Linked DNA regions of Lepisosteus oculatus. The main gene of each other region encodes a partner of the protein of the gene in region 2 in a complex. Links are inferred from orthologs where the notes say so. Each region holds a gene or a part of one and is shown on either strand. Other genes may lie near its edges. The genes, in order: ncbp2 and srrt.

Region 1 (14,824 bases), on a different chromosome or scaffold from region 2:
GCAATCTTTCAGAAAGGCTGGAAAATGATTGTCAACAAGGTAAAGTAAATTGAATGCTATCCCCACTGTTTTCCTTTAAACATTTAGTAAACGCCTTTAGTTCAGCTTGAAATTAAGCCCTAAACTAGCCCTAGGCTGTCTGTACTTCCTGAGATGTTAGAGAATGTTTGAGGGGACACCACACCAAGCAGAAATTGACTCTGCAGGTCTGTGGTACTAGAGAGTTAAAATTGGCTCTAATGAACAACATTTCATGTACATTTAGATCGTTGAGTGCAGACCTTTACCAATTTAAGGGTGCTTTTTATTGGAATGGCATTTTTCCTAGAAACCTGTTTGCAGATACACCTGACTGGTGCCTTAGAATTGACAGTGTCAACTAACACAACTATGATGTGGATATAGAGTGCTGGGCACTGATGTCTTCCTGGCTTTGTTCACAGTGCATCCCGCAGCAGAAGAATGACAATGACTGTGGCGTCTTCGTCCTACAGGTAAAATAAAAACTGCAGTTTGTGTTTTTTTTTACTTTTTGAAGTCTGCTGCTAGATCTGAGTTGCGTTCTCTTTCTTTCTTCTCATTAGTATTGCAAGTGCCTGGCGTTAGGAAAACCTTTCCACTTTTCCCAAGAGGACATGCCCAAAGTACGCAAAAGGATTTACAAGGAGCTTTGTGAATGCAGGCTAATAGACTGATTTGGAATTGTGGAGGACGGAGCCGCCACACTTTTCTTTTCACTGTTCCTACTCTTTTGAAAAGGACCACCTGAACTTGACCGTTATTTTCGGCGGGCGATTCGTGACATGGGGAGATCAAGCTGCGTGTTGTGTAGACTGCTTTGTTAAACGTGATGTCATTTAATAACAGTTCTGTGGCGCTCATGTTCGAAGATGCGCTGAACTGATGCAGAAGTGGTTTCATTCTACTGAACGCTGGCGATGATGTGCTTGCTGTGTCGACACTGCAGAAAACACAGGTTGCACACTGAAGGGCTTAAATGGGACTCCTGTGATTTTGACTTGCTTCCGGCTTGGGAGTAACTGTCAGGAACCAAGTGCAGTTTGTGTATCTCCAGTTAAACAGCACAGCATTGTGATCTGGAACTCTCTGGTACAGTGAAATTTTATGTTACCTCGCATTAAATTGCTGAAAGTTTACAGTCTTTTACAAGCATTTTCCTGTGTCAGCTGTGTGCCCCTTTCGTGTGCTGATGCCATGTGAACATTTGGAATTTCGTGCACTTTTAAACCAACGGCTGAAACTGTTCTCAAGGCTCTGCTGCTTTGGTCATTTTAAGAACTATAACCAAATTTCTGTTATTTTATCAGTTCTTTACTCCTTTAGAGTACGTAAGCTATATCAAGTCCTAAGAAACTTGAAAGGTTTTTTTTTTATAGGTATTATGCAAGTTTAACAGGTAGTGTAGTTTCCTTGCAGAAGAATTAACAGCGATTAACGTTCAGGTCTTGCAAACTTGATGAGGTAAATTATTGATACTGCATGTACATTGTCAGACTCTGAGAGACCACAAAACTACTCTGTGTGGACCACATTGCTTGATTGTTGGGGAAGAATGTTTCATTGTTGGCTGTTAGCTAAAACACATGCCAAACGATGTTCTTTCTGGGCAGTGTTTTCCTTTAAATAAAACCTGAGAGTGGATCAGTGAAGATTTTTCTGTGCAGTGACTTCTGTATAATGAGTAAGTGCATGGCTTTTACTGTCTCCCAACCCAGCTTTTTTTTTTTACACCTTTCGCATGTGGTCATTTAAAAGTAGAAATGGGAACACTGAAATCTCAGTTTTAGTTTGGTAATTCTCACCTCAGTTTTTTTAGCCCAGTTAAACATATTCAGAAATGATCAGATGTGTTGTTTGTATGAAAACAGTAAAATAGCTTTATCTTTCTACATATATAGAAAGAGAACATATTCATGTTAAAAAGATATATGACTAAACATCTTATAGAATGTAATTCATTAGGAAAATGTGGATTGTTTTTAACTAGAATCTATTTATTTTTGCATTACCTGCCTCTTGATGACAGAACCAAGAAAAAAATACTGATTGATGTACTGAGTAATAATCTTAAGTCTTGTCTGACCATATAACAGCGGATAAAGAAAACAAGATTGACCTGGATTCAAAAACATAGAATACCATTTAATGGTTTTACTTGTCAGACTGAAGAAGAGCTCAGTATTGCAGTCGAATTACTTCTTTAAATACTTATTTAAAGCAGTACTCCTTGCAATGTAATAATTCTACTGAACCTTAAAGGAGTACCTAGGTTTATGTTACTACTGCCTTATGATTAGTTCTGAACAAAGCTATTCAGTACAGGAGTGTTGTGCAACACATACAGGAGACGTTTCAGTCGTAGCTCTGGTGCGTTTTTAACCAGGTGTTCTGTTTGCGAGTTAGATTCTGAAGCACTGTTTACAGTTTTCATTGTGCGATTTGTACAGCTTGTAAGAAAGAAAATTATAACTTGTTGTAAAGAGTACTTGAGGTGTAACAATAAAAATGACTTTTTTAGGTCTGATTGTAGTTGCTTCTTATAGATTAATTTAGTAGTGATGTCCAGTTTACGCAGTGTTCCTTGCATTCTTAACATTTCTGCTTAAAATATTTGTTGTAGCCTAACAGAGTATTAACTTCTTTTAAATGTAAACATCTGTTCAGTGTTTAGCAACAGTTTAATTGTGGGTCTGGCACAGTTTTTGTGTATAACTCATGGGATTAAATGTATGTTTATAGTTCCAGAGCAGCAGTGACAAAATACTGATACACAATAAAAGTGCAGCAGTGTACATTGTTCGTCAAATTCTTTTTGAGCCCAAACATTTACACTTTAAATAGTGAGCAGATCCGTTAAGTGATTGATTGGCGTTGTTGCTTGGGGCTAACACAAATGCTCAACTGAAATCGTTGTTGTTCATGAAAGACAAAAAGACCAAAATGAATAAGAATCTATTAAACCAATTGATCACGGGCACAGTAAATTAGATGACCATGTCAACTTGAGCAGCTTGGAAATTCTAGATTGCTTGGTTCCTATTATCATGATTGAAGGCAGACTTCCTGCTAAATGTTACGTGGAGAATGAGGTTCTGCTTCAACAATTAGGTGAAAATGAGAAACCATCTCTGTGAGGACTAGGAGAGATTCTGGCCCAACATCTGGCATGTTGCATCTGTCTGGTCAAGTCAACCTTTATTTTACTGTGGCAGCAAAAGGCTTTCCATAGGCATGCCTGGAATTTGGTGGCAATCATACGTTCGTTATTGCCGCGTTTGTTGTCTCCAGCAGGGGGCCCTGCAAGTGTGATGAGGTGGGATTGAGTAACACAAGTGTGCGTCTTGTGCAGACTGATGACCTCATTGCTCAGTCATCCTCTGCTGGATTCTTTTCAGCCCTCAGTTTTTCTTTACCAGGGAAGCCAGTCTGGAAGCGTTGGTCTTCCAGCATGACGATGCAAGCCCACACAGTGCAAGGACTCCAAGAAAACAATGTTGTCTTGCCACGGCCAGATTTATATGCCGATTTCAGGCTCTCGTTAGTGTCTCTGTGGGAGCGGCTTGCCAGTGCTGTGACAAGGAGCCAGCTGGCTACAGCTGCAGAGGACAATGTGCAACATCCCACAGCAGTCTGGTGGGAGGCTGGAGGGGTCCATACGACAGTGCTGCTGCTCAGGAAGGTCATACCACCTTTATACTGCTTTCGTTTAAAACTGTCATGTTTCATATTGAAAACTACCGCTTTGTATTTCTGTTCACATTTTCTGTGATTTTTTTTTTGTTTGGCATTTGTTTTAAATAGTCAATTAAATCCAGTTCTAGATCTGAGTTTTCGTGTGTTCTTTTTGCACCAGTACAGTGTATTCAAACCGAAAGCCCTTTCAAAAACGTGTTGAGTCAAATCTGTTCAATGGCCGCTCCGTAAGCTGCTGCCAGCACTTGAAGGACATGATATACAGTATGAAGAAACCTTAGCAACTCAGGTTATTAGTATAAGAGGATACTTTTGTATTGCACTAACTAAAGAATGCTAAAAACTGGATTAGACATAGGAGGCACTGTAGATGAACTTGGTATCAAGGCATAACTTTCCCCCCATCCACCTAGAAAAAAGGGTCAAGGTGGGACTACATCCTGGATAGGACAATGTCATAAATGTATATCGGGCCTTTAAAAGTAGCTCCTCAAAGTGCCTTTTACGAAAAGGGAAAAATAAATTAAAGATCTAAGAAGAAAAAATGACCATAAGGGACTAGAAACAGTAGATGCAATGAGCAAATGCAGCCAGATGCCACTTAAATTAAAGCCTTGCTGAAGAAGCTTGACTTGAATGCACTCTGAATATTAATATCAATATTAATAATATCTGCACAATTGGAAATATTTAAATGCTGACTAGAGGGGGGGGCAGTATCAAGCTGGAGGAACACCAGACTTGAAGACCAAACTACAGGACTGAAACCCCCAAGAGAGAGACAAAGTGTCCATCACTGAGACACCGGTCTGGCACACAAGACAATCCAGAAATCTGCAATCTGCAATTCAACTAGTCAACATGTCGTTGGAGGGTGGAGGAAAGCTCAGAGAACATTCCGAGACATGGAGAAAATGGAAAAAAAATTGCAGAAATACAAATGACAATCAAAAGCAAAACCCACTGACAAAATAATGGTCTTCAGGTCCCTAAATTTCAGGGTATAATGACATGTTAATGTTCTGAAAGTAACATCAGGTTTTACCTAAAGACCATGACATACATGAGCAGTACTTTTAATACTTTTAGGAAAGCACTTAAGCTGAGGAAAAAACTAGAGCAATTTTAAAAATGCTTGTCCTTTAAATGAGAAAGTACATCCAGGACTTTTAACTTACATTTATCAGATTTTTGATTGTTTAGCGGTCAAGGAATGTGTGTAGGGTAAAATTAGAATCTGAATGAACTAATATCATTAATTCCAAAATTTTCCATTAACAAAGTTTTCCTTTCCAAGAAATGTGTGATGCCTTTTTTACACCAAGGGAAAGCAAATATAAAATACTTCTAAACATGCTCCTTTCATCTAATTTTTGCATTTCATTTTAAACAGTAGAGCAAATGGTGCACACATTGTTACTGAATACCAATACCAATGTTAAAAAAAGATTTTAAACACAAAATTGAAAATATTTAATGTTTCCATAAATGTTATACATAGTATACAGATCCAACAGAAACGCTCATAGTTACAAATGAAACTGGATTGGAAAAATAAGCCTTAAGGCAAAACTGGCCAAAATGGCAGATGCCTTAACCAGCTTCTCCTGCTTATTTGTGATTTTCAAAATGTACGAAAAGCATGATGTACTTCAGTCAAGTTATCTTAATTTGGTAAAACATTTAATAAAAAGGTGATAAAAGATCAACTTTATCTTTCATTACCTAAATGTACTCAAATACCACCCAATTGTAAATTCTCTACAGAAAACTAGAATTTGTGCGGGGCGTCTGGTGTTCTTTGGAGCTGAGCCAATTTTCCATATCCACCTCGAGCAGGGTCATAATCTTGCCTGTATTCATCTCTGACCTGAAAGAAAAAGAAAAAAATACCTTATTACAATTTTTTAACTGCTTTTCCATAGCCCACCCCCGGCTGGATCATAACCCTGTCTGTATTTATCTCCGTCGGAGAAAAGAAATGTGCTTCTTCACAGACAGCACTGGCCTCCCATCACACTGCGCGAGCCCCTGGTGAACCGAGCCGTGGCTGAGATCCAGCAGTTGCAACGCACTGAACAGACTTGAAGCCAAACAGCTTGAACGTGCATTAACATAAAAAAACACTGTAAAAACTTTAAGAAACACAGAATAACAGATTTGCTCATTTCTAACTTTTCTAATGGTTTTTGTTGTCGTTGCTGTTTCTAATGACAAATACAACGTTGGGCAAGCAAGCAAGCGCACCTGGCCACCTGACTTCCCACGGCCATACTGCCTGCCTTCTTTAAAGCCCGCGTCCCAGTCCGTTCTGATGATCCGGTCGTCCAGCCTGGTGCCGTTGATGTACCGCATGGCGTTCTCCGCGTCCCCACGGGTGTAGTACCTTGCATTGGGGGGGTCAAGGCGTTGCAGCAAACGAAAACGTACAAAATGTGACAAATTGCCTATCTCGGGAAGAGGGAGGGAGACAGGCCTTGGATTTCCTTGCTACGGCGGCCCAGGCACAGCGAGGTGAACCTCCTGCACCCCCCTCTCGATCCTCCCTTCTCCGTGACACTGAAAACATTACATTACATTTCTTCGCCTGGCAGACGCCTTTACCCACAGTGAATTACAACAGCATGCCGTGAAGGCGCAAAGGGTGCAGATAACAGTAACACTACAGAAGACTCCACCGTGCCATTTAACTCCTGGGATATTGCTCTCAAGTAAGAAGTCTCTGTGTTGCACGTCAGATTGTATAAAACATTAAAAATGTAAAACGTTTAAGACGCGTCACTACTCTATAAATATACAGTCAGAACATTTAAATAAATATTCCATCTAGTATATCAATTCTGTACAATAAATATACATGCACCGGATAGCTGCATTAAAAAGGAGTTACAACTCCAGAATTACCAATATCCAAAAAGCCGAAAGACAGGTCAGCAATCGCGACTGTTCTGTGCAAAAGGATACTCGACGAAGCAGAAGCCACAAGCGGTCTTCTTCACCTTGTCCAGACCCATGATGATTCTCTTCACGTCGCCGCTCTTCGAGAACAGCTCATACACCTGCTCCTCCGTCGTGTAAAAGGACAGGTTTCCCACGTAGAGGGTGTTGCTCGCCCGCAGGAGCCGTTCCTGTTCGTGGCGATTACCCTGGAGACAAAGTTCCACTTCACACTGTTTGTCGTTCCCTCCATCTCGCTACCGCAACCTTTCTTAAACTTACCTAACGAACGGTACTTTCATCTCTGCTCGATACCACGGCCGGGTAGCGTCCGAAACACAACTCTGAACACGACTGAGGTGCAAATCAAACTAACTTTTAATACACCTAATTACCAGAACCTGTTTACGCCTTGCATCTGTGTTCCTGCTTCGGCGTGTTAAATCCTGTTTTCCTAACAAAAACGCACAACGTTAAGAGTAATACTAAAGTTTTTTCACCTTACCTTGAAATGTTGGTCTCTGTACTGGCTTATATCGACGTAAGAGTCGCTGAGGAGTGCGTTTAATTGAATAGACATCGTAAAAGAACTGTAACAAAATCCACACAGAAACAAACCAACAGGGCACCCACACAAACAGCAAGACTCCCAGAACGCCGCCTTCCGGTGCGGGAGAGCCAATCAAATAAAGCTTCCGGTCCGTACAGTAAGGGCGACCGTGCGGAAACAAGGGCGGCCCGTATCGGTGACCATACAGCTCTCAATTTTCTTATATTGTTTTACTGTTTATTTGTTTTTATATTAATATAACCACAATAAGAGAGAAGACAAAATGTACGATTGTGAGAACACAGAGTTACTGTAGGCTTTCACGAGGGTTACCAGCAGCTATTTAAATGCTGCTTTTAAGTGTTTAGATTTCGATCGCACTAATAAATGCAATCATTGAATAATAATAAAGGACGTCCCTTCTTCAAGTTTATTTCATTTTCAGTTGTTTTCGTTAATCACATAAAGCATTACTCAGTAGAATCCGATACCTTATTAGCAGCTTCAACAGGGGGACGGTTGCGGTGCAAGACCGGAAATCAGAGCTTTTCAGCCGGCAGATCTTTCTGGTAGGAACATTGAAACTGCTTTCAATTTATTTGTGAGTATAACGCCGCGCAACAAATTTATTAACCGTCTTTTCCGTTGGCTCTCGTCGTCTGCAGGTCCCCGGATCCCTGGCTTGAAGATGGTTTTGAGGCGCCTGCTGTTCACCCTGTTGAACAACGCGCAAGTGATCGAGAAGCTCTCCGAGTCTCGCCCTATCCGCCGGGCGGCGCAGATCACGGCCTACGCCATCACCAAGGCGCAGATCAGCGGCAGGGACGCGGCGTCCAGGCTGCTCAAGTCGGACACCGTCCGCCAGGTGCGAGAGGAGACGGCCGGGAGGATGCCGAGGGACGTGGGCGAACTGGGAAGGAGAGTCGGGAGACTGGGGCAGATGTTCGTCAGAGAGGTCAAGGAAGGCGTGAGGGACGCCTCCCGACAGCTCAAAAACAAGGACAAACAGTGAGGGCTTGCGGAACCGTGGACTTCTGAATTGACCTGTAATTATCTCAGTAGCTGCTGAAATCCATGTCGTTTTACCACCGGGAGATGTGTCGTTTTCCACACTGTAATTAAGCGGTATTTGAATTATGGAGGCGACACTGCGGGGAAAGTAATGAAGACGACGACTTTCTGTTCAGCTCACGGGTCCAAACTCCCGTTTTGACGGCTAGGATGAAAAATATCCGAGACGTATTTTTGCGAGTCTGTGAACGTTACAAATCAACGCAATTAAAAAAAATAAATAACCCGCACCTTGTCGTAAACTGTAAACACAATGCCACAGAACGTCGAAAGAAGCAATCCCGTTATGTAAGATATGCATATTGTTCATTTTAACTTTCATTGATAAACACTGTATCGGGTCTGGTGTGTAATGTAGATGAGAAGATTAAATTGAAAAGAGTGTTTTCATGAAGTATTTGCCTTGTTTTTATGGACTGCAGCTCTTGTCAGTCAACTGTGTACGACTTTCATGGACTGGTCGCTACTGTCGGCAGAGGAAAGTGTACAAGTTTCCATCCGACATATGTTTTTTTTTTAAGGGGGTTGGTTATTTGTCGAGCCAAAGTACATAAACCACCTTCATTTTTTTAAAAATTAAATATATACCCACAGAGCCCACCAAACTCAGTGTCTGGGACTTGAAAAGGGGAATAAATAATGCGGTGTTCCTAACTTTTCTTGCTCCGTTTTATCCAAACCCATTGTAGTTCTCCTACTTCGCCACAAGATGGCCGGGAGTCTGGAAAAAAACTACCCGAGTCCTGTTTTCGGACCCCGACACCGTAGTGTTTGCTGGAAGACTGCCACTTCTCCCTAGACAGACAGGCAATACCGAGGCCGAAACAGAACCGAAGTTCTGTAAAGCGCTTTGAGAAGGTGCTATATAAAATAAAGTGTATTACTATTACTTTCCGTAGATAAGTTGCTTCAGTCCTAACCAAAGCTTTTACTATAGTAAATGCATGTATACTCTTCTCTATTCTTTATAACACATCTCATAGAAATGTTGGCTTTATTAATGTGTAGAACCTCTGTGCTTAATCTCTGCTGGCTTCATCACTTATTATATTTTTCTGGTGCAGCTTCTATTTGTTTTTGCCGTCACAACCCTTGATAACAGGAGGGAAAAGCACTGTCAGCTCCTGTACACTCGTGACTGCAGTATATTGTTAAATTTCACCTAAACATCATTTAGTGATCTTCAGGCTTCTAAGGCTACATTGGTGCACATTATTATTGTCTAGGAAGTGCAAACAGCTTTGTATCCTGTTTTATCTTATCTGTTCTGTTTTATCTGAGGTAAGCTTTCACGTTATTAGGTTCAAAGTTACATCCGCCTGGAAAAGATTTCACGACTGCACTCGGGTGAATGAGGTCTCAGTTTATTTATGAATCATAGTGTGGTTTTTAATCAAAGCTTTATGTACCTATACTTAAGCAGACGCACTGGCCTGGCAACTAAATATTAGTTACAATACAATATTTCATTGAAGAAATCAATATGACCTTTGAAGCAAGCAATAATATTCAAAGAACAGGGAGTCAGTACATATACACTGATATGGTATCTGAGCACCTTATAAAAATAAATCTTTGTTCAATAATACACAAAGAAACTCTGCAGAAAACATTTTGGAAAGAAATGCCATACTGAAAGGACAATAATGCAGCCTAGAGGGAATACTACACCTGATTATAGTACAGACTTGGTCAGTAAAAGCTCAGAATTATTATGAAGGCATTGTGCAGCAGAGAACTCGGACTTTCCATGTCTTTGATCATTCCAGAAATTAAAACACATGGGTTTTACGGTGATGCCAGCTGAAGTGATTTCCTGACAGAGAAACATGCAAAGTACTACTTTTTAAACTGGCATGATCTTCCCAAAGTTACCAGCGGTCTCAATCAAGCAGTAGGTATGGAGTAATGGATGCTGTGTCATGCTCTCATAGCTGTGAAGGTAGAGAGACAGAATTCCTATCAATCTGACCTTCAGGTATTAGTTCACTGGGAAGCTGTGATTCTGCTTTGTAGAAATAGGCAACTAAGTAAATCACATTTGAAAGCTAAGAGAGACATTTTCTGCCTCACGTCTGTGACCTCCCAAAACAATAAGCAAAGTCTTCCTCAGCTGCTCTGCTCATAGGAATTTACACTCCACATTCCAGACACCCAGGTCTAAATTAGTTTAATCTTAGTTCTGCACTGAGCAAATCACTGTTGCCATTAAGCGTGTGTTTAACAGCGTTCTTTCTGAGGTTTGGGGGGAACACACTGACACGGCAGGTACATGCAGAAAACAGCACAGGCTGTCGCCCTCCTGCCTGTGTCTGCAGAAAGAAACAAGTGTGAATTTAAGCAGCACGGCCCTGTTGCTTCGTTGCTGCTTCGTTGCTGGCTTGGCGTTAGTTTATCAAGGCGAGACAGAAAAGTGCAGGTCCCAGCACATTCCAAGACACAGAGAGCACCCCAAGAAGATAAGATTATGTAACAGGCAATGCATATGCACTGATATGGCAACTGCCTTTAGACAACAAAGGACAAAGTTTTTAAATATGACTACACATCTGTAGGATATGATATAAGTCTGCAGGAGCTTGACAAAGAGGCTCCAGATGTAACAGGCAAAGCATATGCACTGATATGGCAACTGCCTTCAGATGCTAAGGATCACAGCCAGGCAACATGCACCAGCATGGGACCTGCCTGCCTGGAGCTTCCTGTGGCACTGTGGAAGGACTGGAGAGGTAGGAGGGGGATTAATGATTGTGGACAGACCCTCTTTCCCAAAACCTGCCACCTCCTTCCCTCAGGGTGATCAACACACCTGAGGCACGAGAATCCCTGGATTTAAACATTCGAGACGATTTGGACTGGGGGTGGAGTGTCCAGCCCAGCTACAAATTGAGAGAAAAAAAAACATTTGGCACATTGAAAAATAGGACCCTAAAATCCCTGCAAATTTGCTATCTGAATCACTGAATAACGATTCTTAAAAATTGTCCAAGAATCAGTGAGACGTGGTGTTTCTTTGTCACTGTCTTCCCAGGAAAGTAGGTTTATATGTTGAAGATGATCAAGAGGAAGCCGAGTCCCACTACAAGCACCGTGGACACTGAGGAGACCGCTCCTGGCAAACAAACAGAGAGGGGTTAGAGCACATGAACAGCTCCATCTTCCAACCTGGTCATTTGCCGGGCTTCGGCCAGAGAAAAGCCTCAATTTACTACCCTTCCAGTAAAGCTTCTCTCTCATCAACTGCAGAGCTTTGATCACGGTTGTAAAAATGATTCTAATTTCATGCATTAAAAAAAGGAAATTATATTCCTGGCTAAGACATAAAAATTACAGGGCAACTGGAAACCACGCAACTCATCATCCTCTCCTGTTCTTGCTCAATCAATCGAGCTCATGAAAGAACTTCGGCCTTCGTACAGATGCAGGCCAAGGCAAGCACTGGCAGCACAGTAGGGCATCGGATCGTTCATACCTGCAGAGTTGCATTCCATCACATTCATGGCGTCCATGTAGCTCTGGCCCAGCCAGTCCGTGTAGGTCCTTTTCTCTCCGACTCCTATCAGGCGGACTGTGGAATCCTTGAAAATCAGATCCGTACCTCCAAAGGCAGAGGAATCGAACATCTTGAATCCGTTCGGATTGTTGTCATCCCCAAAGATGGCCTGCAAGTGAAAGGCTGATCGTTAACGGAACACGATCCGCACAGAGCCTTGCCGGTCAGTCCCGTCAGCAGGAGGCGGATTCACTCCGGACAGACTCAGGCGTGCAGAACTGGAGACGGGGCCTTTCCTGCACGATGACTAAAACCGCGGCTCGCCCAGCCCTGGGCGCCACGAAGCTCAGCTGGTTCACGAGGCCGGGAGGGAGGGGGGCTCCGGGCAGCCATGTCTCACCTGGGCTCTGTCGAGGAGTCCGTACACCGCGTTGGCGTCCGTGTCGGGGCGCACCATGACGGCGTGGGCAGGCACGCGAGCCAGGTTACAGCGCGCGTACTGCGAGACCTCCGCGCGAGCCCCATTGGGACACAGCAGCTGGAAGTCCCTCGACTGCAGGTTGACGGCCCAGAGATCAGTGTTGTGACCTGCCGGACAGGAGGGGCACAGGAGGCGCGTTTGCCGTGAGCCACACGCCGACTTGATGGAGACCAGGGACTCTGGTGGACGGCACTCGATCTGGAGAGCCTGTGTTTCATTTACTTCACTAGTTGTCCTACTTTCACAGAGCTGCTCTGCCTGGACCGCTGTGCACTGTGGTACCAATGTGCAGCAGTGTTGCACGCAGGTGTCTTTCTAGAAGCAGCTGCGAACCGTGGGCACGTGTCAGCGCTCATGGTTTGGGCTGGGACACGCAGGGCCCCACGGGAATGCTGGGAAAGGATTATTTAGGCATTCCTAACGACTGATGGCTTTGTTTGAGGCACGTCCATGCGTGGTCTGATTCTCCGGGACATACCGTCAGTGTTGTCGAAGACCGTGGTGTGCTTCACGAAGGCCACCTCTCCAGCGCTTTCTGATAAACACCTGCAACAGAACCAAGGAGGCACTTTGGGACGTCTATAATGGCGGCAGCATCACTGCAGGGGCCCTGGTGAGGGCAAAGCCTTCATGAAACCTGTCTGGTGAGAATGAACTCTCACACTCGCTGGCACGAAGACGGCATCGGCAGCAGCAGAGCGCACCACCGATCTCACGCTTGTCCCAGAACAATCCCACGCTCGGGTTCAGCACAGACGCTTCCACACCCTCCTGACCCATTTTAGGTTTCCTGTGACGTATTTAAAACTCATCCTTCCTTGCAAGACAGGATGAGACCTTGCACCACGACAGTTCATTCCTCAAATGACCAATACAGAGGCTGAATCAGAAGTCTCAATCCAGAGGACCTAGCCCCACTGAACATCTCCCTGTGAGACACCTGAGATGAGTGGTCAACAGCCCAAAATCAAACAGCACTGCAGCAGAGAAAGAGATCATTGGGAAAGAGTTTCCATCTTAAAAAAAGTTCAAGAAAAACATTTGTATAGGAATTAATATGTATGTGTTAACAGCAATCAATTACACAATAAATTAATGAAGAGTACATTAATTTTCCCCATGGGTCCAGACTTCTGGTACGTGCTGAGTAATAATTGTCAATTATTGGCACTGGTGTTTCCAGTGGTGATCAAAAGGTGTTGATCTTATTTAATTCATGAAAATGAACACAAAGTACACGTGAATCAGAGTGTTCATCCCAGGACTGTGCTGGCTCTTCTTTCTTGCTGAGTGTTTAATTGTACTATGGTGTTTCATTGTTGTTATACTGTATTATTGTCATGTATGTTATATGCTTATGAGCTCTTGATGGGGAAAGACAAATTCCCCTAGGGGCAATAAAGGTGAATTCATTCACTCACTTCAACGGATGCATTCGGTGCCTACCTGAAGGCGCCGCTGTATCCATAGTAACGCTCCAGGTCGCTGCGATCACATTTGTGTTGCCCGGAGACGTCCCCGACGCACAGCTGGCACAGGCTGGGAGGGTAGCCGGGCTGATTGGCTCCGGGAACACAGCTGGAACGGAAGAACTCCCCCGCAGCTGAGAGGGAGAGGGCACGCGCGTGGATTACTGTCTGTGGGTTTCCAGAACAGACTCAAACCCTGTGGCCCCGGGGGGGCCTGCTGTGTTCATGCTCTACAGTCAGGGGGTTTCCTGCCTCAGGCCTATAAATCCCACTTCCCATCGGTCAGCTCCCTGCCCCCTCCCTGCCCTCGCCGTGACGGGACAGGCCCGTTACCTTGGGCGAACTGGCAGCCCCGCGGCCGGATCATCCCTTTCTCCATGAGGACTCCGACTGGGACGTTCCAGCCCGCCGTCCTCCCGTAGCCCGTGTGGCAGCTCCTCCTGCCCTTCAGCTCGTTGAAGTTGAAGGCGTCCAGGCTGGACTTCTTGACCACTGCCACTGCGTAGTAGGAGCTGCCCTGGGTGTCGTCTGCAACCACATGGCGGAGAGAGAGAGAGAGAGAGAGAGAGAGAGAGAGAGAGAGAGAGAGAGAGAGAGAGAGAGAGAGAGAGAGAGAGAGAGAGAGAGAGAGAGAGAGGAGTGTACCGGCCATCCGTGCGATTTCACTGGGACACTGACTCGCGCTGTTCTCTCGGGATGTGCACAGCACTGTGCGAAGGACAACACCACACAACGTGCGCAGTACTTTACAAAACAGCCAGTAGTAAATAATGACAATCACAGCCGACGTCATGCAAGGGGCAGAACAGAACAAGGGCCCAACCAACCCCTGCAGAGCCCAGAGCTGTGGTGAGTCTGAGGCATCGTGCACTTAAACGGTAATGATGCACTCTGTCCGAGGGCAGAAGGTGTTCTGAAGTCTAGTGGTCTGTGCTTCACTCCTGCCTGTGCACTGGGACCTGCAGGCAGCTCGACTGCTCTTCGTCTGGGGGAAAGAGCGAAGTGGACAGACCATGCAGCACAGACTTGATGCAGAATTCAGTTTACACTGACAGGCTACAAGAGCTGACTCTTCTCAGCCTCGAGCAGGGAAAACTACGTTATCCCAG
Region 2 (14,996 bases):
AAGGCTCCTTTAAGCCCCTGCTCTGCCACTTCAGTGGGACAAGTTTGGACGCAAGGCTCCTGCGCCTGGTAAAACCCGGAGCAGACCGGAGTGCTACGGAACGGGACTGCGATGGGCGCTTCTGGGTCAGCGGCGTCTCCCGTGTCTCAGCCTCTCGGTCTCGGCCCCCGAGGACAGATCTACAATATACTGGGAAGCCCTGATCTCGCCCCACCTCATCGCTTCAAAAAAAAATTGCCCAACAATTAAAGCAATATTGAGGAAGACAAAAAAAAAACTAGTAACTGAAAGAAACAGTATAAGAATACAAAGAACAAGAGATGTGCCACGTTCTCGCCCAATTTACCTTTGTGTTTACAACACACATTTACTGAGAGAGGGGCGCTTCTGCCCCTCGGCGCCGATCACACTTTCCAAGGCTCGCCCAATTTTGTGAGTTGTGGGAGAGATAGGGTCTGTTTGTTTTTTTGTTTTTTTTTTGATGGGGAAGGGAGGAGGGCACCTTTGGTTCTGTGGTCTGGGTTTGGTTTTGGAAAGAAACGCGGCGAACGGCCCTGTCTGACTAAAAGCCCTGGCACTGTGGTTTCTAGAGCGCTGCATTGTGCGCAGCGACAGCCCTGTCTGCCTGAACGCCCGGCTCCCTCGAGGACTCCTGCAGATCTGACTGTGTGTTTGGCATCTTCCACAGCCTTGATTGTGGAGGAGGAGGAGGAGGAGGAGGATGAAGGAAAGGAAGGAGGGAGGGAGGGGAGGGGAGGGGGAGAAGGGAGGTTGCAGTCAATTTGAACAAAAGAAAAAATGAAAATTAAAAAGAATTATATACAGTCACAATCCTGGACACTGACACAGTGATCACCTCGTTTATTTTGTTAAGACAGCTGCAGGTACGAAGTACTGGCCCTCCCCCTGGCCTGACACAGGCATGGTTACTCCCTGGTCGAATGATGCGGGTGATGTCTTGTTGCTGGAACCTTCGGCGGCTGCTGGTACGAGGTTCAATTTGACTCGTTAAGACTCTGCGGGGGGGAGGGGCGGGGGGAGGGGACTGCGGCCTGCAGCTGTTCAAACACAGTGGTATCTCTCCAGCATCCCGACCCTAAACTCAACTTTACCCTCTACCTCAGATCCTATCCTAACCCCCCTAATTCTCCAGCCCTAACCCCTAGCGTGACCCCAAACGCGTGTGTGGGTGCGGTGCAAGAAAACACGCCTCGCTGGCCACGTGAGGCCCAGGCTTCAGTCGGCACGCTAACTCCTGACAGGTGCTGCTGGCACGTCCCCATAGTGGAAGTGACTAGCCCACCGTCAACAACATACCGGCACTCCAGATTTAGTACAGAGTGCTTGCCTCTCAGTAGGAACAGTATGAGAATCCATGGGAATTTCCCACAAATACAGAAACGAACACGTGTGAGTGCGTCAGCTCACTACCCAGCCTCCTCTCCAGCTCTCCCTGCCCCTCCACGCGGCTCTCTCGGGGTGCGGTGTGATGTCTGCTGTTCCCTCCCTCCGTTCCTCTCGGCGTGCAGTGCACTAAATGCTGTTCCCTCTCTCTGCCTCTTCTGGTGTGTGATGTGATGCCCATCAATCCCTCCCTGCCTTTCTTGCGGTGCCCTATCCGGTGTTCCCTTTCTATGCGGCTCTCAACGTGCGCTGTCTGCTGTTCACTCCCTCTGCCCGTCTCGGAGCGCAGCGCGCCGACTACCGTTTCCTCCCCCTGCCTTTCTCGGCCTGCTGTGCGCTGCCTGCCCGTCCCTCCCTCTGCCCGTCTTGGCCCCCAGCTCGCCGACTGCCGTTCCCTGCCTCTGCCTCTCTCGGCGTGAGGTGCGCTGCCTTACCACTCTTCGTCCTTGTGCGCCAGGAAGAAGTCCTGCATCTGCTGCCGGCGGAAGTCCAGCTTGTAGTCGTTATAGCGCTTGACCGCCTCGGTCTCGTCCACGGAGTCGTCCAGGGACAGCAGGAACTCCTTGAAGCTCTTCATGACGGGCGCCGGGGGGCCCAGCTCCAGGTCGTGCACGTTGCCCAGCCTGCCGGATGACGGGGATCGGTGGGGAGAAACAGGACACGCAAGGGCAGGATAAAAAAGAAGCACGGGATGAGTTACTGGGGATCCCCTCAGCGGCCCCCTCTTCCTGCAGCAGCTGCAGTGGGGTTCAGGGGTGCAACGAGCAGTAACTGCTGCCTAGAGCTGCACCCGCAAGTCGCCAGCAGGCCTTCCTGCCCCACCCCACCCCCAGCGCAGGAGCCCGCCCCCCTCACCTGGCCTGGATGGGAATGCCATGATGCGGCTGCATGAGGTGGATATCGGGGTGTCCCCAGGGCTGGGGGGGGGCGTAGCTGGGGCCCCCGCCGCCCCCATACGGCAGGTCATACCCTCCACCGTGATACGGGTCTCCGCCGTGGTCGTCCCTGAAAGAGACAGAGGCAGCGCTGAGCAGAGCGTTGGGCACCACTGCACACGACACGAACGGAGAGAGACAGAGAGACAGAGAGACAGAGAGACAGAGAGACAGAGAGACAGAGAGACAGAGAGACAGAGAGACAGAGAGACAGAGAGACAGAGAGACAGAGAGACAGACCAGGGTCACGTGGCAGGAAACGGCCTCACCAGTCCCTCCTCATGCGTTTCTGCTGTGGGCTCAGGTCGTGCCGCGGCGGGGAGAACCTCTCCCGGCGCCCCCGGTCGTAATCGCGGTACTCCCCACGACTCCGCCGCTCCCTGCCCCGGTCCCACTCCCTGCGAGGAGAGAGAGAGAGGAGCACGTGAGCTCGCCCTGGCGCACACTCGGGACAGCCTCGGGCCCCCTGGAGTCCGGAGAGGCCCCAGGCTCGCCCAGTTCAAGACTCAGGGCTGCGCTGTGTACCCCCACCTCCCCCAAAACACAACGTTAAACACTCTGCTTGCTCTTCACACACCTCCTGACCCATCCGACAGAGCAACAGCTTCAAGAAGACGCCTGGGCTGCCTGTTCCAGCCTCCTACTGCCCTTTGTGCAAAGCAGTCTTCTCAATTGTGCTCTCACTTGTTTCTATTCAAGGCAGCCTTGGGATCCGTGAAGAATCGGCAATAGCAAACACTGACACAGAACAAAGGCTGCAGAGGACAGGAGGTTTTTTTAACACACCAAGTCAGGATCACCAACAAAGCACAGCCCAGAGGACACGGGTGAAAACCAAGAAGTGTACTGAGCATTAGTAACAGGAGGCTCTTTACACAAAGTGGTGGGTGCCTGTAACAAGCTGCCCAGGCATATTTGTAGCAGCAGATTCCCTGGGATCAATGACTGGTAAGCAGAGGAAAGTGGAGATGATCTAACTGTTCGATCGATCCACAGTTATCTTCCAGAATCCAGGTGTCTCAGGCTTCCCGGAGACCACGACCTTTGTGGCTGGCAGCGCACCCCTCCCCCCCGCCCCGTGACCCCTGACCTGTCGTTCCAGTCGTCCCGGCGCCGGTCCTCCCTCTCCCGGGACCGGTCGTAGTCACTCCGCTCACGCCGGAACTTGTCGCGCCGCCGGCGGTCGTATTCGTCATCGCTGTCAGCCATCGTCCTGCCCGGCCCGATCTGCACAGCGCACACGGACGACGCGCCTGGGAGACGAAACAGTGGCGGGATGAGGCAAGGGGCAGTCAAGACGTCACCAAGTGCACAACAGCTGCCAAAACACACGAATGCGAACAAAGGGCCTTGCGCGTCGACAGTGGTCGCAGCAGGGCTAGGGGGCGGGGCTCGTGGGGAGACCCCCTGCAGCTGGTGACCAAAAAGATCTATAACAGGTATGAACCAGGCAAGTCATACTTCAATAGCAAAACTCTTAAGGGGACTTAATTTAACAAATCACTTGCTTAACTGGCCACACGCAAATAATAATAACAACAACAACAACAACAACATCACTTTATTAACTCTATGAATCATCACTCATGAATTGGCTACATCAACATCACTCTATGAATTGGCTTCATTACTCTGCTCTCCTCCCCACTGATAGCTGATGTGTGGTGAGCGTTCTGGCGCACTATGGCTGCCGTCGCATCATCCAGGTGGGGCTGCACATTGGTGGTGCTGGAGGGGAGTCCCCATTACCTGTAAAGCGCTTTGAGTGGAGTGTCCAGAAAAGCGCTATATAAGTGTAAGCAATTATTATTATAATTATTATTATTAACCCTTAACAATTTCTTGTATTAGGAATTTGTTTTATTGCATACCCGAGCTTGCTCTCCATGAGACACAGACAGGGAGAGCTTGGGGTCAGAGCGCAGGGTCAGCCATTGTACAGTGCCCCTGGAACAGATGGGGTTAAGGGCCTTGCTCAGGGGCCCAACAGAGAAGGATTCCACTGCCGGCTGTGGGATTTGAACCGGCAACCTTCCAGCCACAGGCACAGATCCTGAGCCACAGAGCCACCGCTCCGCCCCAAGTCACTAGAAACTGGCAATGGTGTACCCACAAACATGCTGGACTGGGGTTCCCCAGAAACAGGGCCGGAGACCCCCCGGTTCAGAATACAGTACAGTCACAGTCTCGGAGCCCAGGCCGCAGGGTAACTCCAGCAGCCCAAAACACTGCTCTCTCAGCGCCATCTTCTGGTCCAAGTCACTCAAATAAAACTACTTGGACTGTTTTCCAGGACACATCAGCAAGCCGCTTGATCGCAGTTTGGGCTCTCTCCCAAACGCGCAGCTCCCGGCTAACTCACAGTGAAGTTTCACATCTCTGCCAAAAACAGAGGAGATCCAGCCAGAACCTGCCCACCCACAGCCTCTCTTAAGGTCATGAGACTCTGGCCTCTTAAAACAACCGTCTCCAGGGGTTTAACTTCCACTCTGTGAGCGCTCTGCGCCCTGTACCTCTTCCCCACGGCCCGCTTCAGCTACGCGAGCCTCTCGGTTTTAAAGTGCACCGTGCTGGCCACAAACAGGTGAAGACCAATCGCTCATAACCCGCACTGAGTAGTCATGCTCGAAACGACTCCCTCTCTCGGAAAGAGAAATTCACAACAGGCAAACGAAACTACCCCAACCCCACCGAGGAAGCGAATTCGGGACTGCGGACAAGCGGCGCTGCTTTACACAAAGAGTGGTGGGGGTCCGGAACAAGCTGTCCCCGCCCTCTTTCAAGAAACAGCAAAGACAGGATGAATGTGTTCCCTCTCCTCCCCCATCTCCCACACCTGTAAACTTCCTGCGGTACCGTCAACTTTCACATAAGAAATATGGCGGTCCTGAAAACTTCAGTGTCCCCCCTGCGAAGCGAATGAGCCCCCCACTAACCTTCCAGTGTTGCACAGAAACCAGAGGAAAAAAAACCCAGGCCGGTACCGGGGGGCAGAGCCCGGTAGGTTCGGCGACCGCGGGCTCTGTCAGTAAACGCCGAAGCCCCACGTCATTCATTCATTCAATCGCACCGCTGCCCCACAAAAGACGGCCGCAGGGATCACTCGCGCCGAGACACTTTCCCGATCAACTTCCTCTTAACCGCGAACAACACTGCGTGCACCGTGAAACACCGTCCGTATCGAGCTGCTTTCGGCGCCCACGAGTACAATGCCGCGGCCTCTTCCGTCTCGCAGCCCGGGCGGCTGCAGCAGGAACACACACGGCCCAGAGGGCTCTCTGCACCCGCTGCGCCTTCTCACGGGAGCCGTTCCCTCCAGGTCATTCAGAAACTGGAAGTGTCCAAGCTGCGTTTCGCCCTCTTTTCCCGGACAAACTGCACAGAAGCCGCCTTCACCCGCGGAATCTTACACTGGTTTCCACCGCCTCCGCTTCCAGAGCCACCGCCGCCTCCGAGCTCATCTACCCCTGCAGAGTCAACATCCCAGACCGCGGCTTCACCGGTAGATCCCAAGGCCTTAACTTACCCCCCAATAAAACAAAACATGACTTATTTTTCGATAACTTACCCGCTCGGCTTAAGTCCCGGGAAAACCTTCGTACCTCCAGAGAAAGGCGATAATTTCTTAATTAATTAAATTCCCACCGCGTCGCAATCCTTCCTCCCACTCCTCCAGCGGGCCTACAGCGCGAGAGAAGACCCGGATGTGGCCTCTAGCGAAGTCTTGGTCCCCTCCCCTTCGCCCGCACCATCAGCCCACAGCGCCCCCTAGCGCCCGGAGGTCTGCATGGCCTTTACGGCTGAAAAAAGGTGCAATATTAAATCACACGCTTAGAAGTCCCGACAAGCCTCAGCACCAGTGTTTGATATGCTTGAAGCTACTACAATTAAAATTGAACAGAAAATGATTTTATACATGTTTCAAGGATAATCAGATGCATTCACAGAATAATGATTCAGCTACAGTGACTCAGGACTTCAATGAAAAAAAAAACGGCATGACAGTCATAAAAAATATTTTCCATTCATGCAAAGGAAAACTTTGCAGAGTGTGTGCTTTGAATCTGGCCAGAATTCTATTTTTCAGCAGCGCACAATTCCCCCCTGAGTCTTTGGGAAACGAGACCTTGCCAGTGTCCCCTAGGCTCTCCAGTCTGTCATCTGTAGACATCAGCCCAGATTCAGGGACAGGTCCCCCAATTGGAAATTGCCCATTTTAAGACCACCAACAAATATTGCAGTCTCTCAGGAGAAAATGAGATACATGGGCCTATTCATTCAGTACAACCCACCCTGTCAGATCACTCACCCTGGGGCTCTGCACAGAGCCTGACGGGAGAGCAAGGGCTGAATAGTCCAGTTTGGCAGTAGGATCAGCTGATTTTTTAAATACAAAAAAACACAGCACAGACGTTTTTTGAGAAAATATTTTAATTTGTATAAAACCATTGCATAGCATCTGTAGAAGAGTAGGCAGTGGTCTAGGTGGAGTGGGTGTAGTAGGAGGGTGGTTTCACAGCAGGGAAGGGACATGGGGATTTCAGGAGGACAGTGGATTTATTTACAGTGATAGAAAAGGCAAATTGAACTGAAGAGCCCCCTCAAAAAAACAGGGAGATAATGAAATATAAAAGTGAGCAGGTGAGTAAGAAAGGAAGTTAAAAATCAAATGAAGGGTGCTCAGGGTCAGCTGCTCTTATAGCACAGCGAAGACTGGGGTGAACATAAGAAACACACTGCCATGGACAGACAGCGGACATCAGGGGGCGCTTCATCACCAGTATACACAAGGGACTCTCGGAGTCAGTTGTCCCGTGTGGGGAGGACTGGGCACTGTGGAGAGACTGGGTCCACACTCAGACAGGGCCATAGGGAGCTGACTGACATGAACAGACAGTGTGGACACTGAACAGTTTCCTACAGTTGTACTGTACACACCGTATCCACTGCCTGCTGGTCACTCGGACCTGAAGCAGCGCCCCCTGGTGGACTCCATCAGTCCCCATGGCCCCACTCTTGACTATACAGCTGGCTCTAGAGCAGGACCTCCCAGTCCAGCGCTGTCTGACACCTGGGTCTAGCAGGTCCGTCTGAGATCTTACTCCAGTCCCAGATGTAACAATGTATTTGCCCTTTGTTTGTTTTTGAATTGTTGTCAGTTCAGGAACAGTGAAAAGAGATTTTTATTTTTCAATAACAGCGAGAATGTGGAGAGTGGGAAGAAATGACAAAGATCTAGTTGATCAGATCAGTAGTGAAGGGATCACATTAAGCTACCAGGAGTAAAGGTGAAAAACACCAGTGGGATATGGGGTACCCAGAAGTGGGATTGAGAAGCCCTACTTGGTAAGATCCAGGATGTGAAATGAGGCTCAGAACAAACAGAATTTGAAACCCCCAGATCGAACCTGAGCCTTGGGGCAGTTTCCTACTCACAGGGGTGCCTTCTGAGAGGGTCAGACTTTAATGGAGGAAGAGGAGGGGAGCAGGACAGTGAGGGATGGGGTGGGCAGGGAGCTTCTGGCAGGTGCTCATTCCCAGAGACAGCTCCTCCTGCAGCGCAGCGCGGCTCGGCTCTCATGCACCCTGACGAATACTCTGGATGATCTGGAAGATGGCTGAGGATAGAACGAGAGGAGGGTCAGAATGAGGAGGGTCAGAGAGCGTCAGAGAGAGAGAGGACAGCAAGTCGGAGAGCATTTAAGAGAAAGGGTGGCAGGTCAGAGAATGAAAGAGAGGATGGTGGGTCAGAGAGAGAGGAGAGCAGGTCAGAGAGCATCAGAGAGCGAGGGGGGGAGGGAGGGCCAGAGGTTTTAGGATGAGAGAGCACGTTGGCATCAGAGACCTACCAGAGCCGCACACGACGAAGACGAACAGCGCCAGAAGCCAAGGGCCCACCGGAGAGTGGTCCTCATTGACTGTGCGCTGGAACACAGGGAGAGGAGAACAGCATGTCACAGCTGGACTGCAGTATCACCTTATACAGCACGTCACAGATGATATCAACTAAAGGGGCCCAGAGAGCCCTAGTCCAGTCAGTACAGGGTCTCCAGCACGGGTCCAGCCAGTACAGGGGACATGGGTCTCTAGTCCCACTCGAGTCAGTACGGGGCTCTCCAGCACTGCGTGCAGCGGTATCAATGTATAGCGGCGAGTTTCTGTGTCAGCATCCGTGTGTATCGATGAGTGGTGTCGGTATCGGTGTGTAGCGGGGAGTGTACCGTGGTTTTCTGGACGTGTCCCCGCTGGGTGATGGTCTTGCTATGCTTCTCGTTAGCGACTTTCATCCGCTGCACCGCCGACATACTGAAGCAATACTCAGCAATACCCGCCAGGAAATAAACACGACGGAATAAATATTTTTTAAAAAAGATTCTGAGTTTAAAACCGAAACCCGGTGACACTGACTAACGATGTTAAGTAATATTTCGTAAAAGCGTACGATTTCAACCACTCCGAACAGCCCCACACCGAACAGCTGCAACTATGCCAACGGAAAAGGAAGGCGAAGCGAAGGCACACGTGACCAGGGTTCGGGCCCCACACCTATCACGTGACGAGGGTCTGTCGCTCGTATTTTTTTAATCACCTATAATACCTCACGTCCTCACGTCCAGGCGACGATTCTAAAGTCTTCTTTCCAAACTCTGTACACGACGTCTTAAGCGACATTTCTTTACGTAAGACTAATTCCTGGACTTGCCAATTTGTCCGTGTGTAAAAAAAAAAGAGATACAACGTTTCCTTATTCCGCGTCCGCCTGTTCCAGACACCCACAACTCTTTGTGTAGAGAGGTGTTTTCTGTTCTCTGTTTTCGTGTTTCCCCTTACTTACCAGTTGCGGCTCGGGTTCTTGTTTCGCTCCTGAGAGTGAAATGATGCCCTGGTTTTACATCGGAAGCCAGACAGCGGAGGTAAAAGATGTTGCCAACGGGCACCATTTGGAAATAAAAACTCAAGTTACCAGTTTTCATAATCAGAGCCAATACTTTATTCATGTAGCTCAGTGCTACTGCGCACGCTGCAATGGACGTCTTGGGAAACGACGCCTTATGCGCTTTATACCTTCTTGTTTCTCTTTTTGGAATACTATGTTTTGGAATATAAAGTGGAAATTAATTTGGACAATTGCTGATAGATACTGTCTTACAAACAAAGTTAAATATAATTTAAGATCGTTCATAGACTTTATTCTGTTAGATTGACACGAACAAGATGACTAATGTGTATTTTGTAATAATGAGAAGGAAATTTTGTTAATTGTTTTGTGAATTGCGTATATACAAATTTGTTTTGGCTAGATTAGCAATATGTTATTGTTAAACTAAATGTTAAATATTGTTAATGTCTAAATGTTACATTTAGAGATTTAGAAATTATTTTATATTTTGTTAGACCTGATTTGGATAAAATATATGTTTTTATTATTAATCTGTGAATCCACAAACGTAAGTGGTCTAATACTGCTCCCTCTATTAATGATTTTAAGGTAGAATTTCTTTTTTGCTTAAATTCTATCAGAAATTTGAAGAATCAAAAAGGCAATACATACAGTGGAAATATGTACAAAGCTTAATTTTCAGCTTTTATAATTGTGAATTCTTATAGCTGTGAAGTGGGTTTATTTCTGTATCGGTTTTAATATTTTTCTTCTGTTGATGAATTTCTGATGTTTAAATAAAAACGTACATCCTCTCGACGCGTCATGACCGGCGGTAACAGCACAGCGCGTCTGAGTCAGGGCGCCCCCTGCCGGCCGGCCGTGGTCAGCGCAGGCCTGCTCTTGCTGAAGCGGGGGCCTACCTCATCTCCGTGCTCCTCCAGCACGGTCACCCGCAGTTCAGCCATCAGCCGCTCGCAGGCCTCCTCGACACCGCCGTCGGCCGGCGGCTCCGGGCCCCCCGGCCTCCGGGCCCGCAGGATCCGCTCGGTGTTGCTGGGAAGCGTCTTCCCGAGAGAGCGCTGCCCTCCCTCGGTCGACATCCGGGCGAAAACCACAACAACATCAATAATAACAGCAAGCGGTATTCTGTCGGTTGGTTAGTCTGCGGAATTCTAGAACGTTTTTCAAAAAATTGAAAAAACTGCCAATCGCTGCTTATGTTATTCCCATACTGCTATATCGATCCATCTTCTAACCCCTTTATTTAATAGGTTAATAACCACTAATCTATACATTATTTTCTCGTCTTATTCGCGTTTTCTATGACTCTGTCTTGTCTGTAACTGAATTTTAATGTCCTAATGTTCAAGGCAGGTTGGGCCCATAAGGCAGTTTTTAATTGGACTTCCTACAACTAAATAACGTGGGGATAAACACACCTTTCTGATGTCATGCGTAGAGATCTGTTCCAGAAACCCCTGAGCCTGTAGTATAAGTGTGATATTGAGTACTGCTCTACCGGGCAGCGGATCGTCATGTGACCCACACGGCTACGTCACACGCACAGCGACGCGTTTCATTCAGCGCTTTCCACTTACAGTACACTTGGTACAGTCACAGAAATACGGTGCAAGCAATGTTTCAGTTCTATAGCGCAGCTTTATTGAGGGAGGCCAGTCCAGCGGCCAGCAGGGGGCAGTGCAGCTGAGCTGGCAGCTCCTGCCAGACGTGCTCCAGCTGTTTCAATGGTGCTTCCTGGTCCTCCTCCTCCTCCTCTGGCGCTTCACACTGGACCTCCTGACTCGCCTCCTCCTGCGCACTGGACGGGACGCTCGTCTTCGCCTCTTGGCCATGTCTGCGGTCTGTCCGAGAGGCGGCGCTGTGCCCTTTTTAAAGTTTTAGAGGGGTGTGACGTGTAACGTAATCTCTTACGTCACTAACCATCGTTATGACTAGTATATGCTAGTATTTACTTCACCTCATGTAATGAATGGGAGATTGTCGCCGCCCTTCGTTGTGATGGTCAGGTTGCAGGGCTGCAGTGTTCAGGGCAGGAGCGCTCCAGGGATCTGGGCTCTCCTCTCCCCCTCTCTCGGACACAGCAGCACCCCCCGGGCCGGTCCACACGCGTTCACGCCTCCTACTGCTCTTGTTACACCGGCAAAGCATGGTCGCGGGAGCTAGATCCAGTATCTGTCCGATACTGGCCACAGAAATCGGGTTCTCCAGTGGCTGTGACTACAGTCGCGGAGCATGCCCGCACGACGAGGAGACCGACAGCAGCAGGTGTGTGTGCGAACAGAGATCACCACACCGCCCTCCCCCCCCGGCGAGAGAGCGATAGCCCAGGGAGCTGGGAATGAAAGCACGACGCGTCCAGCTACCGCTTGAGGGTGTGAGTCAAGAGACTTTTTATCGGGGTTTAAGACCGGAGCGTCGTGTCCACATGAACGGAGATCTCAGTTATGGCGAGAGCCACAGCGCCCTCTGGCGGAGAGTCCCCCGCAGAGCAGAGCCGCGCTAGGCGGTGGTGACGGGGCGCCGCCTCTTGCCGAGTCCCCACAGAGCGGCCGCAGTCCGGACTCGGGGTTTCGGGCTCAGCCTTCTCCTCTTCCGTCCGGACCTGGGCTTAATAAAGCTCTTCGCCTCCATCTCTCTGAGCAGGCGCTGTCTGGGCCTTGCATGCCGCCTGGCGTGCCTCCTGCCGGTGCGCATCCTCAGCTGTTAATTAACTGCTGAGTGATCCCGTGTGCGGCTAACTGCACTGACACCTCCCCCGTTCCCGGTGATTACGTAATCTGTCGTCATCGACTACAACTGCGACGCACAGTAGCGCGACTATTGTGACGTAACGCGATTGTTGCACCAGCAGTCTCGTTGGTGTAGCGGCAGGCTTTATCACTCATTAAATTCTACTCGTCGGAATCGACAATTGCAATTTCCTGCAGGAATCTTACGGTTAATCTCTCTAAGTTCTGAAGCCAATGTCTTAAACTTTGCGTCTTCACCCTACAGAGAGCTACAGACCTCGGCGCCAAGACGATGTAGTGTTCAAAGGAGAAGACTTCATTGAAATACAAATGTTGTTTAATCATATTTATTAAAGAACAGATTTATTTAGACCACACGGTGCTACGCACACAGCTACATAAGCCCGTATTCCTCTAAATATTTATGTTTCACAAAGTTAACAGCTTCCTGTGTATACAAAGATAACTGTCGGGCATGTTTATCTTGACATATTCCAGACATCTCGGAGTGCAGAGCTCTAGATGATTAGTTCCAGCTTTTGCAGTAGCCTTAGTTCTCCGACAGTCGCAGGGAGCAGATGTCTGAAGCCCGTGTCCAGGAAATATCACAAAGGAATGAGAGCGGACATCTGCATTCGTTCTTCTACAAAACCACGCGGTTCCCGAGGGCATTGGAGATAGATTGATCTTGTCTGGGTGTGACAAACCTCACCGCCTTCTGTTTTCGCTGTCAACTGTATCCCGTCGTGTAATCAAATAATATTTTCGCTAAACTTATTACACATTACACTGCTCAATGAGATCATTAACACGATCTTTCAGTCTGGTTGTTAACGAAGGACAATACTCACGCTGGGCGTCCACGGTAGATGACATTTCTGGGCCATGTTTGTCCCTCACGTCCAGCACGAGGGCCTCCTGGGGCCCACGGCTCTCTGCACTCCTCCCCGGCAGGAACTTCTGTTGTTCTGTCCGTCTTCTTGGTTGTTTTTGAAATAAATGTTTCACTGAAAGCAGGCCGGATCTGGGACGTGCTCTGACTCCTGGTAACGTCCCCCTGGTTCGAGTCCCTGACAACCGGTCAACTGGTCAAGCGTTCGGCCGCAGGGTTTGGCTGACCACTCAGGGGGTCCTCCTCCTCCTGCGCACTGGACGGGATGCTCATCTTCGCCCGGTCTGCCTCCGGTGAAGGGGGCACCCTCGGCATCACCTATGACATCACCCAGTGATGTCACAGTGACATCGTCGCCAGTGTGTTTCCATCTACAGCTGAATATAAGATCATTTCTAGATTTATTTAGCGCACAGGAGGGAATCACCTTTGCTCTGTTTACAACAGCACTGGCCCACAAAATCAAATCCACAGCCGTTCGGTTTGACTTACTATGTACATATCGCCAGGCTACATCCTATGTTACCGCTAACTGCTGCTGAAAAGCTGATCAACACAATTGTCTTCTCCCGAATTGACTACTGTAATGCTCTACTCGCTGGGGTTTCTAAATCCACACTGACCAACCTCCAGTATGTCTAAATCTCAGCAGTCAGAACCCTGACCAGGTGTAGTGGAAGTGATCACATTACTCCTGTCCTGGAGTCCCTGCACTGGCTTCCTGTCAGGTTATGTGTAGACTTCAAAATCCTCCTGCTCACCTATAAGGCTCTGCATGGCTGGGCACCTCAGTACCTGTCTGAACTATTTTTGCTCTACTCCCCACCTCACAATCTTCGCTCCTCTAATTCTGGTCTCCTTACTGTCCCCCAAGCCCGTCTACACACTACAGGTGACAGGGCCTTGTCCTGTTATGCCCCCAAAACTCTTGAACTCTCTGCCCAAGGATATCAGAGAGTCACCTTCTCTAAACTGCTTCAAATCCAGACTCAAAACCTTCTTCTTTAGAAGAGCCTTTACTGACCTGGTTCCTTTCTTCACCCCTCTACTCCTGCTCTGTTCAGTACCTCCATCTACTGTCTCCTCTCACTGTATACAGGTATGTCTCTTGTGGTTTGTGTTGCTCTGTAAAGCACTTTGAGAAGCCACCTTTAAAGGCGCTATATAAAATAGTTATTATTAATAATAATATTATCATTATATTCCAGCAGTCCTCCACACCACTGGCACAGGAAGCTCCGGCCCTGACGAGGCTCCTACTCTTGACCAGCAGCTCCAGCCCCGGTCCAGCCGGGCTTCACAGCCCGGGCACTAACGGGTCGTTTGGACCGGTACTGGACCCGTTCCTCCGGGTCGCTCGGCCAGCCCCGAGTGTGAAAGATACCCGACTGCAGGGGAACCCTGCCCCGGGCTCTCTGGTTTCTGATCACACAGCTGCTGGGGAGGCACGGGTAAGCCCGCGGTGGGGCCAGATCAATCTGACGTCACGGCGGGATCGGCGCCTTCACGACAGAGCTGTTGTTTTAGGCGTTGATTGCCGAAGGAGGCGAAGCAGGGCGCTGTGCCGCTGCCATTCACGCCCTGAGTTGAGTTCATTGCTCTTGTAATTGCCGCGGCCCTGACCATTCATACATTTCTACTGTGTGTTTCCACCGTACCGCACCTCCCTCCCCGGCTCGGCCGGCTGCCGCTCACCCCGCCGGCTCCGGCGCACCTCTAACCCCGCTACCCCATCCATCAGCGCCGGCCCGAGCGCCCAGCCTCCCCCCGGGCTGCCCCTCTCGGCGCACACAATGGGAGCGGGGTCCGGAGCGCCTGACCTCCGGGAGCTGGCTGCGCGCCCGCCCGGATAAACAACCGCGGCGCTCCGGCGCTGGAACAATGCGCGCCCCCCCGGCCGCGAGCCGGGCAGCGCAGGCGAGAGGGGAAGCGGCTGCACGCGGGCCAAGAGCCGCACTTCCTGACAGGAGAGGGTTGTGGGTAAACTCTCTGCCCTCGGCGATGGGCGCACAAAATCCATCTTTGTTGAAGATGCTGGAGAGGCGAATCCATTATATCCGGCTATTATTATCATCATTTAAAGGAAACCGTGTGGCCACTCTTCTCTGGAGTCATTCCAAAGCAGCGATACA

Evidence for each region.
Region 1: the proteins of srrt (region 2) and ncbp2 are in contact, whole or in part, in a cryo-EM structure (PDB 8PMP), measured with the Homo sapiens proteins. The link is inferred for Lepisosteus oculatus from reciprocal best matches to the Homo sapiens genes SRRT and NCBP2. Residues at the interface, in NP_056992.4 of Homo sapiens: Asp857, Arg859, Ala860, Ile861, Val862, Glu863, Tyr864, Arg865, Ala869, Asp874; in NP_031388.2 of Homo sapiens: Ser48, Phe49, Tyr50, Thr51, Thr52, Glu53, Gln55, Lys67, Met71, Leu73, Met76, Lys77, Lys78, Thr79, Ala80, Tyr89, Asp107, Glu121.

The regions. Positions count from the first base shown.
Region 1 is NC_090708.1:2,219,872-2,234,695, reverse strand, and holds ncbp2 (nuclear cap-binding protein subunit 2), read right to left. Parts: upstream 7,585-14,824; 5' UTR 7,232-7,584; coding exon 7,157-7,231; intron 6,861-7,156; coding exon 6,679-6,860; intron 6,101-6,678; coding exon 5,962-6,100; intron 5,585-5,961; coding exon 5,486-5,584; 3' UTR 5,164-5,485; downstream 1-5,163. Other genes in the region: senp5 (sentrin-specific protease 5), read left to right, coding at 1-39, 444-494, 585-695; protein NCBP2AS2-like, read left to right, coding at 7,890-8,213; meltf (melanotransferrin), read right to left, coding at 11,314-11,384, 11,745-11,934, 12,166-12,353, 12,725-12,792, 13,693-13,849, 14,049-14,243. UniProt on the Homo sapiens protein: Component of the cap-binding complex (CBC), which binds co-transcriptionally to the 5' cap of pre-mRNAs and is involved in various processes such as pre-mRNA splicing, translation regulation, nonsense-mediated mRNA decay, RNA-mediated gene silencing (RNAi) by microRNAs (miRNAs) and mRNA export.
Region 2 is NC_090698.1:10,689,847-10,704,842, forward strand, and holds the start of srrt (serrate RNA effector molecule homolog), read right to left. Parts: upstream 6,064-14,996; 5' UTR 5,908-6,063; intron 3,593-5,907; 5' UTR 3,549-3,592; coding exon 3,430-3,548; intron 2,738-3,429; coding exon 2,609-2,737; intron 2,410-2,608; coding exon 2,260-2,409; intron 2,028-2,259; coding exon 1,839-2,027; intron 1-1,838. Other genes in the region: uncharacterized protein, read right to left, coding at 7,917-7,957, 8,189-8,264, 10,143-10,322. UniProt on the Homo sapiens protein: Acts as a mediator between the cap-binding complex (CBC) and the primary microRNAs (miRNAs) processing machinery during cell proliferation.